Linked DNA regions of Caenorhabditis elegans. The protein of the gene in region 1 purifies or fractionates together with the protein of each later gene. This does not show direct contact. Each region holds a gene or a part of one and is shown in the gene's direction. Other genes may lie near its edges. The genes, in order: ddx-27 and Y46E12BL.2.

Region 1 (3,921 bases):
CATCACTCTCGAATGATCGATCTCTTCACGTCAAATGCACTTTTTTCTGGATTTTTTTGTTAAAAAATTTGAAATTCTCGTGTTTTTTCTTCTGAAAAATTGCTTTTTTTGATTTTTTCTGTAATTTTTTTTTTGTTGATTTTCTTAATTTTTTTAATTTTCAAAAAATCTTTTTCATCTCTTTCTCTCTCTCTCTGAATCTCAATTTTTTCCTGAATTTCCCCGTTTTTTTCTGATAATTTTCAATATTTCTCTGAATTTTTCTATTCCCCCCGTTGTAATGCCAAAATATGTGGTAATTTCTCCCCATTTTTTCGCTTTATTACTATTTATTCTATTCAATTGGTGCCTCTCTCAATGTGTTGTATGAAAAACACTGTTTTATGGAGGTTTTGGAGAATTTTGAATTTTTTCGTCGTGATTTTTATTGGTTTTCTTTACCAATTCAATTTTTTTTTTAATTCGAAAATTTGTAGAAATTCACTTTTGTAGCTTAAAAAATTAAAAATTGAGAAAATTTGTTCAAAAATGGCAAAGTTTTCGAAATTTTAGTCTAAAAAAAGATTTTTTTAATATAGAATTTTAAAAAATTAGCACAGAAAAATGCCGAAAAATTCGTAATTTTTCATTTAAAAATGAAAAAAAAAAAAAACAAAAAAAAAAAAAAAAAAGAGGGAAAAATCCCATTAAAAGTAGTTTTTTGACTGCAAAATCGTCTGGAAATTAACAAAATTTAAAAAAATCTTTTTTACAGCCCATCGTTTCCAAAAACCAAATAAAATGCCAAAAAAAAATTTTTATGCAAAAATTCTGGATTTTTTTCCGATTTTTTCAAAAAATTCCCCCTTCTAAAAAAAATGGTGAATTTGTTCCCAAAAACCCAAAATTTGAGATTTTCTAAAATTTTGGCAAAAATTAAGAATTTCACGGTTTTGAGAGGGAAAAACTCCATTAAAATTGATGATTTTATGACTAAAAATTCCTAAAAAATCAATTTTCAGTCAAAAATTAAATTTTTTGAAATTCTAGCTAAACATTAAGAAATTCACGGTTTTGCGAGGAAAATCTATTTAAATCGATATTTTTTGACTGAAAAATCCCTGAAAAATCAAAAATTTTTGGCTAAAAATTGAGAATATTTTTTGTTTTAAAAAAATCATTGAAATTGATTTTTTTGTTTTAAAATTTCCATAAAAATCGCGGAGAAGTCAATTTTCAGTCATAAATCTTCTGAAAATTATCCAAACAATGGGATTTTCTGAAATTTTAGCTTGAAAATTGAGAATTTCCCGGTTTTGTCATGGAAATTCCATTACAATCGATATTTTTTGACAGAAAAATTGCTCTGGAAATTAACAAAAACCAAATAAAATGTCAATTTTTTTTAAATCCAAAAATTGTTGGATTTTTTCAGAAAAAAATATTTTTTCAATTGACTGGTGTCCAAAAAATATAGAAAATTCAAATTTTCCAAGAAAAATAGCCAAAAAAATGTAATTTTTGTCTAACAAAAAAATTGAATAGCGCAAAATTAAATTGTCGTTTTTTTTAAATTTCCCGGTTTTGAAAGGAACAAATTCCATAAAAATCGAAATTTTTTGACTGAAAAATCCGTGAAAACTAGAATTTTGAGTCAAAAATCCTCTGAAAATGCTCCAAAATATGAGATTTTCTGAAATTTTAGCTAAAAATTGAGAAATTCACGGTTTTTTCAGAGAAATTCCATTACAATCGATATTTTTCAAGTGAAAAATCCTCTGGAAATCAACAAAAACCCAATAAAATGCCCTAATTTTTTTAATCCAAAAAAATCTGGATTTTTTCAAAAAAAATTCCCTCCCCCACTAAAAAAATCGTATTTCCCAATTTTCAGAGCCAAAAAAAAAATGGTGAATTTGTTCCCAAAAACCGTCGAATCCGACGAAGAAATGGAAATCGACGAGTCGGACGACGAGCAAGTCCAAGACGAGGCAGTAACCGTCAGAAAGAAGAAGAAAATGGCGAATGCCGCCGAAGAATTTGCTCAGGATTTCATTTTTGAGTCAGGCGACACCCAATTTATCGATCGAGAAACCGAGGATCTTCAGAAATATCTGAAAAAGCAGACGCCAACGTCACTGGACGAGAAAATCGCCGAAATGAGAAAGTTGAAGAATACGGGAAAAGCTGTAATTGTTGAGGATGAAGCTGAAGCTGCTGAAGCCGAGGAGAAAGATGAAGAAGAGGATGATGTTCAACAATTGGGTGGAAAAGAGACACGAGATACTGTACGAGAGAAGAGAAAAAGTGGAAAATCAAAGAAATCCCAGGAAAATGAGGATTTCTTTTCGGCGCTGATTGATGGAAAAAGTCTCGACACGAGTGTTAATGTATCATTTGAACAAATGAATTTGAGCCGACAGATTTTGAAGGCGTGCTCCGGCGCTGGATATTCGGATCCGACGCCTATTCAACAGGCGTGTATTCCGGTCGCACTTACTGGAAAGGTGAATTGCTGTTTTGCGGAGAATTTTTTTTTTTGGAAATTTTCTGACAAAAAGTAGAGGTGGAGTAGTGAAATGTCTGGGAAATATTTTTATTTGACTCCAAATTATTATTTTGAAAAAAATTTAGGCAAAAAAGGATTGAAAAATCTTAAAATTAATGTTTTGGTTTATTTTTTGCCAAAAATCAATTTTAGTTTTTTTTTTACCTTTGGGAAAAATTGAAAAATTCAACATTAATGAAAAACTGGAAAGATGCCCGAAAAATCGTTTTTTTTTCCAAAAAAAAAATTTAAAAAGAGAAAAAATTGAAGAACATTCAAATTTTCCAAAAAAAATATATATTCTTCCGAAAAAAAAATTTTCACAAAAAAAAATACCAAAAACGGATATGTATATTGAAGGAACCAGAAATTTTTCGTTCTCAAAAAAATTTGCTTCCTTTTCAAAAAAAAAAACACAAAAAGCCAATGATTAACATTTTTGTCAGGACTAAATTTTTAAAAAATTCTTCAGCAAAAAATCAACTTTCACTTAAGGTAATGTTTCTATCATTTTTGCGAAAAAAAAAACAATTCTCGTGAAAAAAATTATTTTTTCTGAAAAAATAACCAGATTGGGGTTTTTTTTATTAGACTGCTGTCCAAAAAAAAATTGAAATTTTCAAAAAAAAAACAACAGGCGTGTATTCCGGTGGCACTTACTGGAAAGGTACTGCAATCTTGCGGAAAATTTTTTTTTGGAATTTTTCTGACAAGAATTAAAGGTGGAGTACCGAAATTTGAACCTTTGCTTTTTCCGACCCGAAATGGTCCAAAACTACCGAATTTCATAATGAGACTTCACGAAAAATTTCCAAAAATTTTTTATGGCCGGTCATAATTTCGAAAAAAAAGAGCCAAATTTTGCTAAAATCTGAAATTTCGCAAACTTTTCTTTGTCATAGCCGCTGGTTTTTAGTTTTTCTGAAATTATCACCTTTTAATCTTTATTTTGGTAATTTATATCACGGAAATTCGATGATTGAGACAACTTTTAGGCTGATAGGCATCCAAAAATATAAATTACCAAAATAAGGATAAAAAGGTGATAATTTCAGAAAAGTTAAAATCCAGCAGCTGTGACAAAGAAAAGTGTGCGAAATTTCAGATTTTAGCAAAATTTGGCTCTTTTTTTTTGAAATTTTGACAAGCCATAAAAAATTTTTGGAAATTTTTTGTGAAGTTTCATTATGAAATTCGGTGTTTTCAGACAATTTTAAGTCTAATAAAGCAATTTAAAAAATTCGACTACACCTCCTTTAAAAAAAAAGGACATTTAGTGATTTTTTTTTTCTTCAAAAATTGATCTAAAACTGTTCAATTTCAGGACATTTGCGCCTGTGCAGCGACTGGAACCGGAAAAACCGCCGCCTTCGTTCTTCCAATTCTCGAACGTA
Region 2 (3,921 bases), on another chromosome or scaffold:
GTTCACTATAAATAACTGAAAAACAAATAAATAACGTTTTCCAACGACGTTGAGAGCCTGAAATATTCAATTTCACAAATTTAGACTTTAATACCCGCTTTTTAATGAACAATTTACATTTATCTTGAATTTTTCGGTAAATTTCCAATAAAATTACACGAAAAAACATGAAAAATCAGTCAAAAATGCGAAAAATTGATGAAAAAAAAATTTTTTAAATGCAAGCGCGCTCCATCGAACGAATCAATTGGCGGAAATTCAAAAAGGAATTAGGGGAAAAGTGAGATTTTTTCAATTTTCAAAAAATCATATAAAATCTAGAAAATTATTTTGAATTTTTAATCATGGTATTCGGTCATTGTGACCCCATAGGCAAATATTATGCAAATTGGCCAGTTTTAAATGTTAAATACAAAAAGAAAATTTAGAAAAAGCGATTGAAAACCCAAACTCTTCAATTTTTTCAGCTACACGAGAATGTCACTACGGTTCGTGGAAGTGGAAGTATCCGTACGGGAATGGTCGAGATGGTTTCAATGTTCCTGAAAAGGTGAACAATTTTCCCAAAAAAAAAAACCGAAAAAATCAATTTCTGGCCATAAAACCCAAAAAAAAAACCATTTTCGCCAGATAAAAAATCAATTTTCGTTTTGAAAAACCCAAAAAAATCAAGTTTTGTCAAAAAAACCGAAATCTCAATTTTGCCAAAAAAAAAGTGGCAAAAATTATCTTTTGCCAATAAAATACCTATTTTTGGCAAAAAATCTCTTTTTGCTTTAAAAAAACCCAAAAAATCTCAATTTTGTAACAAAAAAAACCAATTTTTTGCCAAAAAATACCAAAAAAACCATTTTTGCTATAAAAAACAAAAAAAACATTTTTTTTTTTGAAATTTTTGATCAAAAACCCAAAAACAATCAATTTTCAGATCTATTGCATTCTGGACATGGAGCAAGGAAATCTGTCATTCGCCACAGACAACGAGTACCTCGGAGTTGTATTCCAAAATCTCCGGGGAAAACGATTATACCCAGCTGTGGCGACTCTTTATGGAGACTGTGAGATTACCATGACACATCTGGGATCACTGGAACGTGAGTTTTGTAAACGTGCGGCGCAGAAAAAAGGGTGTGATGGCTGTCTTTTTGTAGATCTCCTTCTCGGAGTTTCTTTTCTGAGAAATCGCGGTTTCTAAAATCATGTTTTACAAATAAAACCGAGCCGCGACGCGACACGCAACGCGCTGTGAATCGGCCACGGCCGGTGTAGATTTACGGCGCTTTGCGTGTCGCGTCGCGTCGCGGCTCGGCTCGGTTTTAGCTAAATTTTAGTTGTAAAAATTCGAGAAAAGCCAGAACCAAATCGAAATTCTTGTTTTTTTTTTTCAGCAGTCGAGATGCTACCGTTGTTCGAACTGTGTCGACGTCGTTTCCGAAGCATAATGGGACCAGACCCCGACAAACGCATCAAGCCGCTGATGATCCCGCCGGTTATGAAGGAATATTTGTTGTATGAGATTGAGTGATATTGATCATTTTCTCGCCAAAAATTCACATTTTTCTCCTCTTTTCCACTAACCCACAAATCCCCACGGTTTTTCACCACTTTTTTTTTTGCAAATTTCGCTGTCAAATTGTGAATTACTCAGATTTATATATTGAATATATTGCTTTTATACCTGAATGAAAATTGGAATTTTGTTTTACAATGTTTTAAAATATTTTGACTCTTTTCCAAAAGCTTTTGTCGTTCAATATCGCTTCACGATTTGAGTTTCCGCCAATTTCAATGCGTGACGGCCTAGAAAACGCGGGGGGACGCGGCCTCTGGACACCTCGGGTCTCGCCACGAAAACCGAACAATTTATTTTTTTTCGCTATTCTTCGCCGATTTCTTGCTGAGAATCTTGCATTTTAAAGGTTTTTTTCAGTTATTTTTTACTTAAAATCAATAAAATAAATTTTTGCGCACTCAAATTATCAGTTTTCATCGTTTTCCAACAGTTTATCGCCTTGTTTTAGGAATTTTCCATCAAATTTGTCATTTTTTCAGATAAAAACAATGGGAGGTGGCAATTTCCGTCATCGTACAAGTAAGAAGGGAGCAGCGAAATTTAATTCAGGATCAGCGTGAGTGAAAACGTCGATAAATTCGTTGAATATAATTAAATTTAATTGTTTTTTTGTTTTTTCAGATGTGAAAGCAACCCAACGAGAAGCAAGCATCGCGCCGCTGCCAATGCCGCTAGAAATGCTTCTTTCGGCGGAGCCGGCATGCTTGCCGTCGAGGATCGTCTCATGAACACCGCCGCCGCCGACGATATGCTGCTCTCGGCTCTTCCGATTCATTCGATGGATATCGGCTCTTCGTCGAAAAGCATGGTTTCCGAGGGAGGCTTGTCTAAGCTCTCCGGATTCACGGCTTGCACAAATCCTGCGTTTGATTCTGTCAATCGGGTCTGGAAGTGAGAATTTTAGCGTTTTTTCCAAAAATTCAACAAATTTCACGACCTCCTGGAGTGTTCATAATTATTAGAGCGCGCTGGCTCGGCACCTCACGAACTCCAGAATTCGCGGGAATTCGTTCAGCGGGGACAGCAGTTTTTTGCTATTTTTGGCTTCTATAAGAAATATTTTTGATTTTTTGTTTTATAATATTGTTGAGAAGCATCATCCGAATTGAAAATGTGTAAAATTATGAAATTTGCCCGAAAACTGAAAGTTTTACAGAAGGAAGTCATTATAGTTTTTAAAAAAATGTTTCAGGATTGCCAGTTTTGCGAGTTATGCGTCGTAAAATATGTCATTTTGTAGAGAATTAAAAGTTTCATGAGAATTTTCGTTTGAAATTTTAATTCTTTAATTTCTAATATAAAAATATTCAAAAAATCAACAATTTTACGTTAAAATCTTGTTTCTTAAATTTTTAAGCTTTTAATAAAAGCAATTTTAAATTTTCAAACGAAAATTCGTATGAAACTTTTAATTCTCTACAAAATGACATATTTTACGACACATAAAACGCAAAACTGGCGATCCTGATACATTTTTTTAAAACTGTAGTGGCTTCCTTCTGTAAAACTTTCAGTTTTCGGCTAAATTTCATAATTTTACACATTTTCAATTCGGATGATGCTTCTCAAGAATATTATAAAACAAAAAATCAAAAATATTTCCTATAGGAGCCAAAAATAGCAAAAAAACTGCTGTCCCCGCGGAACGAATTCCCGCGACTTCTGGAGTTCGTGAGGTGCCGCACGAGCGCGCTCTAATAATTATTTATAACACTCCAGGAGACCGGGAATTTTTTATTTTCAAATTTGATTTTAAACTCTTGAATCTCTTTTCCAAAGCACGAGCCGTAGACTGATAGATTTATTTCTTCAGATCTGGGTCCTCTATTCAAGCAGAGGTTGTCTCGGTTTTGGCAGCAATCGCTGAAGTCATCAAAGAGCGGGATGGTAGTTTAATTCCCCCATAATTTTAGGCCTAAAAATTAGGGATTTTCAGGCAAAGAATCCGACGTTGAGTACTGTGCGGCTCTGATGACCGCGCTGGAAGGATCCTCGCTGGGAAATCCCAGAAGAACGGCAGCAATCGCTTATCTGCTTCATCTGATTGTGAGAAAGGTGCCGAAAGAGGTGCTTCAAGCTCAGTTTCACAGATTTGTGCAGGTATGGGCTTTTTGTGAAGCAGCGGCAGTGGGGAAATTGCTTTAAAACATGCCTATGGGGTCACAATGACCAAATATCATGATAAAAATGTTCAAAAAAATTTTCCAGATTTTATATGATTTTTTGAAAATTGGAAAAATCACAATTTTCCCCTAATTTCTATTTAAATTTCCGCCAATTGGATTTGTTCGATAGAGCGCGCTTGCACGTTTTTTAATTTTGTTTATTTTATTTTTTGCTATTTATTT

Evidence for each region.
Region 2: the proteins of ddx-27 (region 1) and Y46E12BL.2 fractionate together in Caenorhabditis elegans (co-fractionation; one large-scale study listed by BioGRID). This does not show direct contact.

Annotation. Positions count from the first base shown.
Region 1 is NC_003279.8:1,766,014-1,769,934, forward strand, and holds the start of ddx-27 (RNA helicase), read left to right. Parts: upstream 1-1,873; 5' UTR 1,874-1,928; coding exon 1,929-2,486; intron 2,487-3,851; coding exon 3,852-3,921. Other genes in the region: lin-65 (uncharacterized protein), read left to right, coding at 1-16.
Region 2 is NC_003280.10:15,231,101-15,235,021, forward strand, and holds the start of Y46E12BL.2 (Ribosomal RNA-processing protein 12-like conserved domain-containing protein), read left to right. Parts: upstream 1-2,052; 5' UTR 2,053-2,061; coding exon 2,062-2,129; intron 2,130-2,194; coding exon 2,195-2,464; intron 2,465-3,386; coding exon 3,387-3,460; intron 3,461-3,509; coding exon 3,510-3,673; intron 3,674-3,921. Other genes in the region: spsb-2 (SPRY domain-containing SOCS box protein 1), read left to right, coding at 468-550, 929-1,094, 1,389-1,525.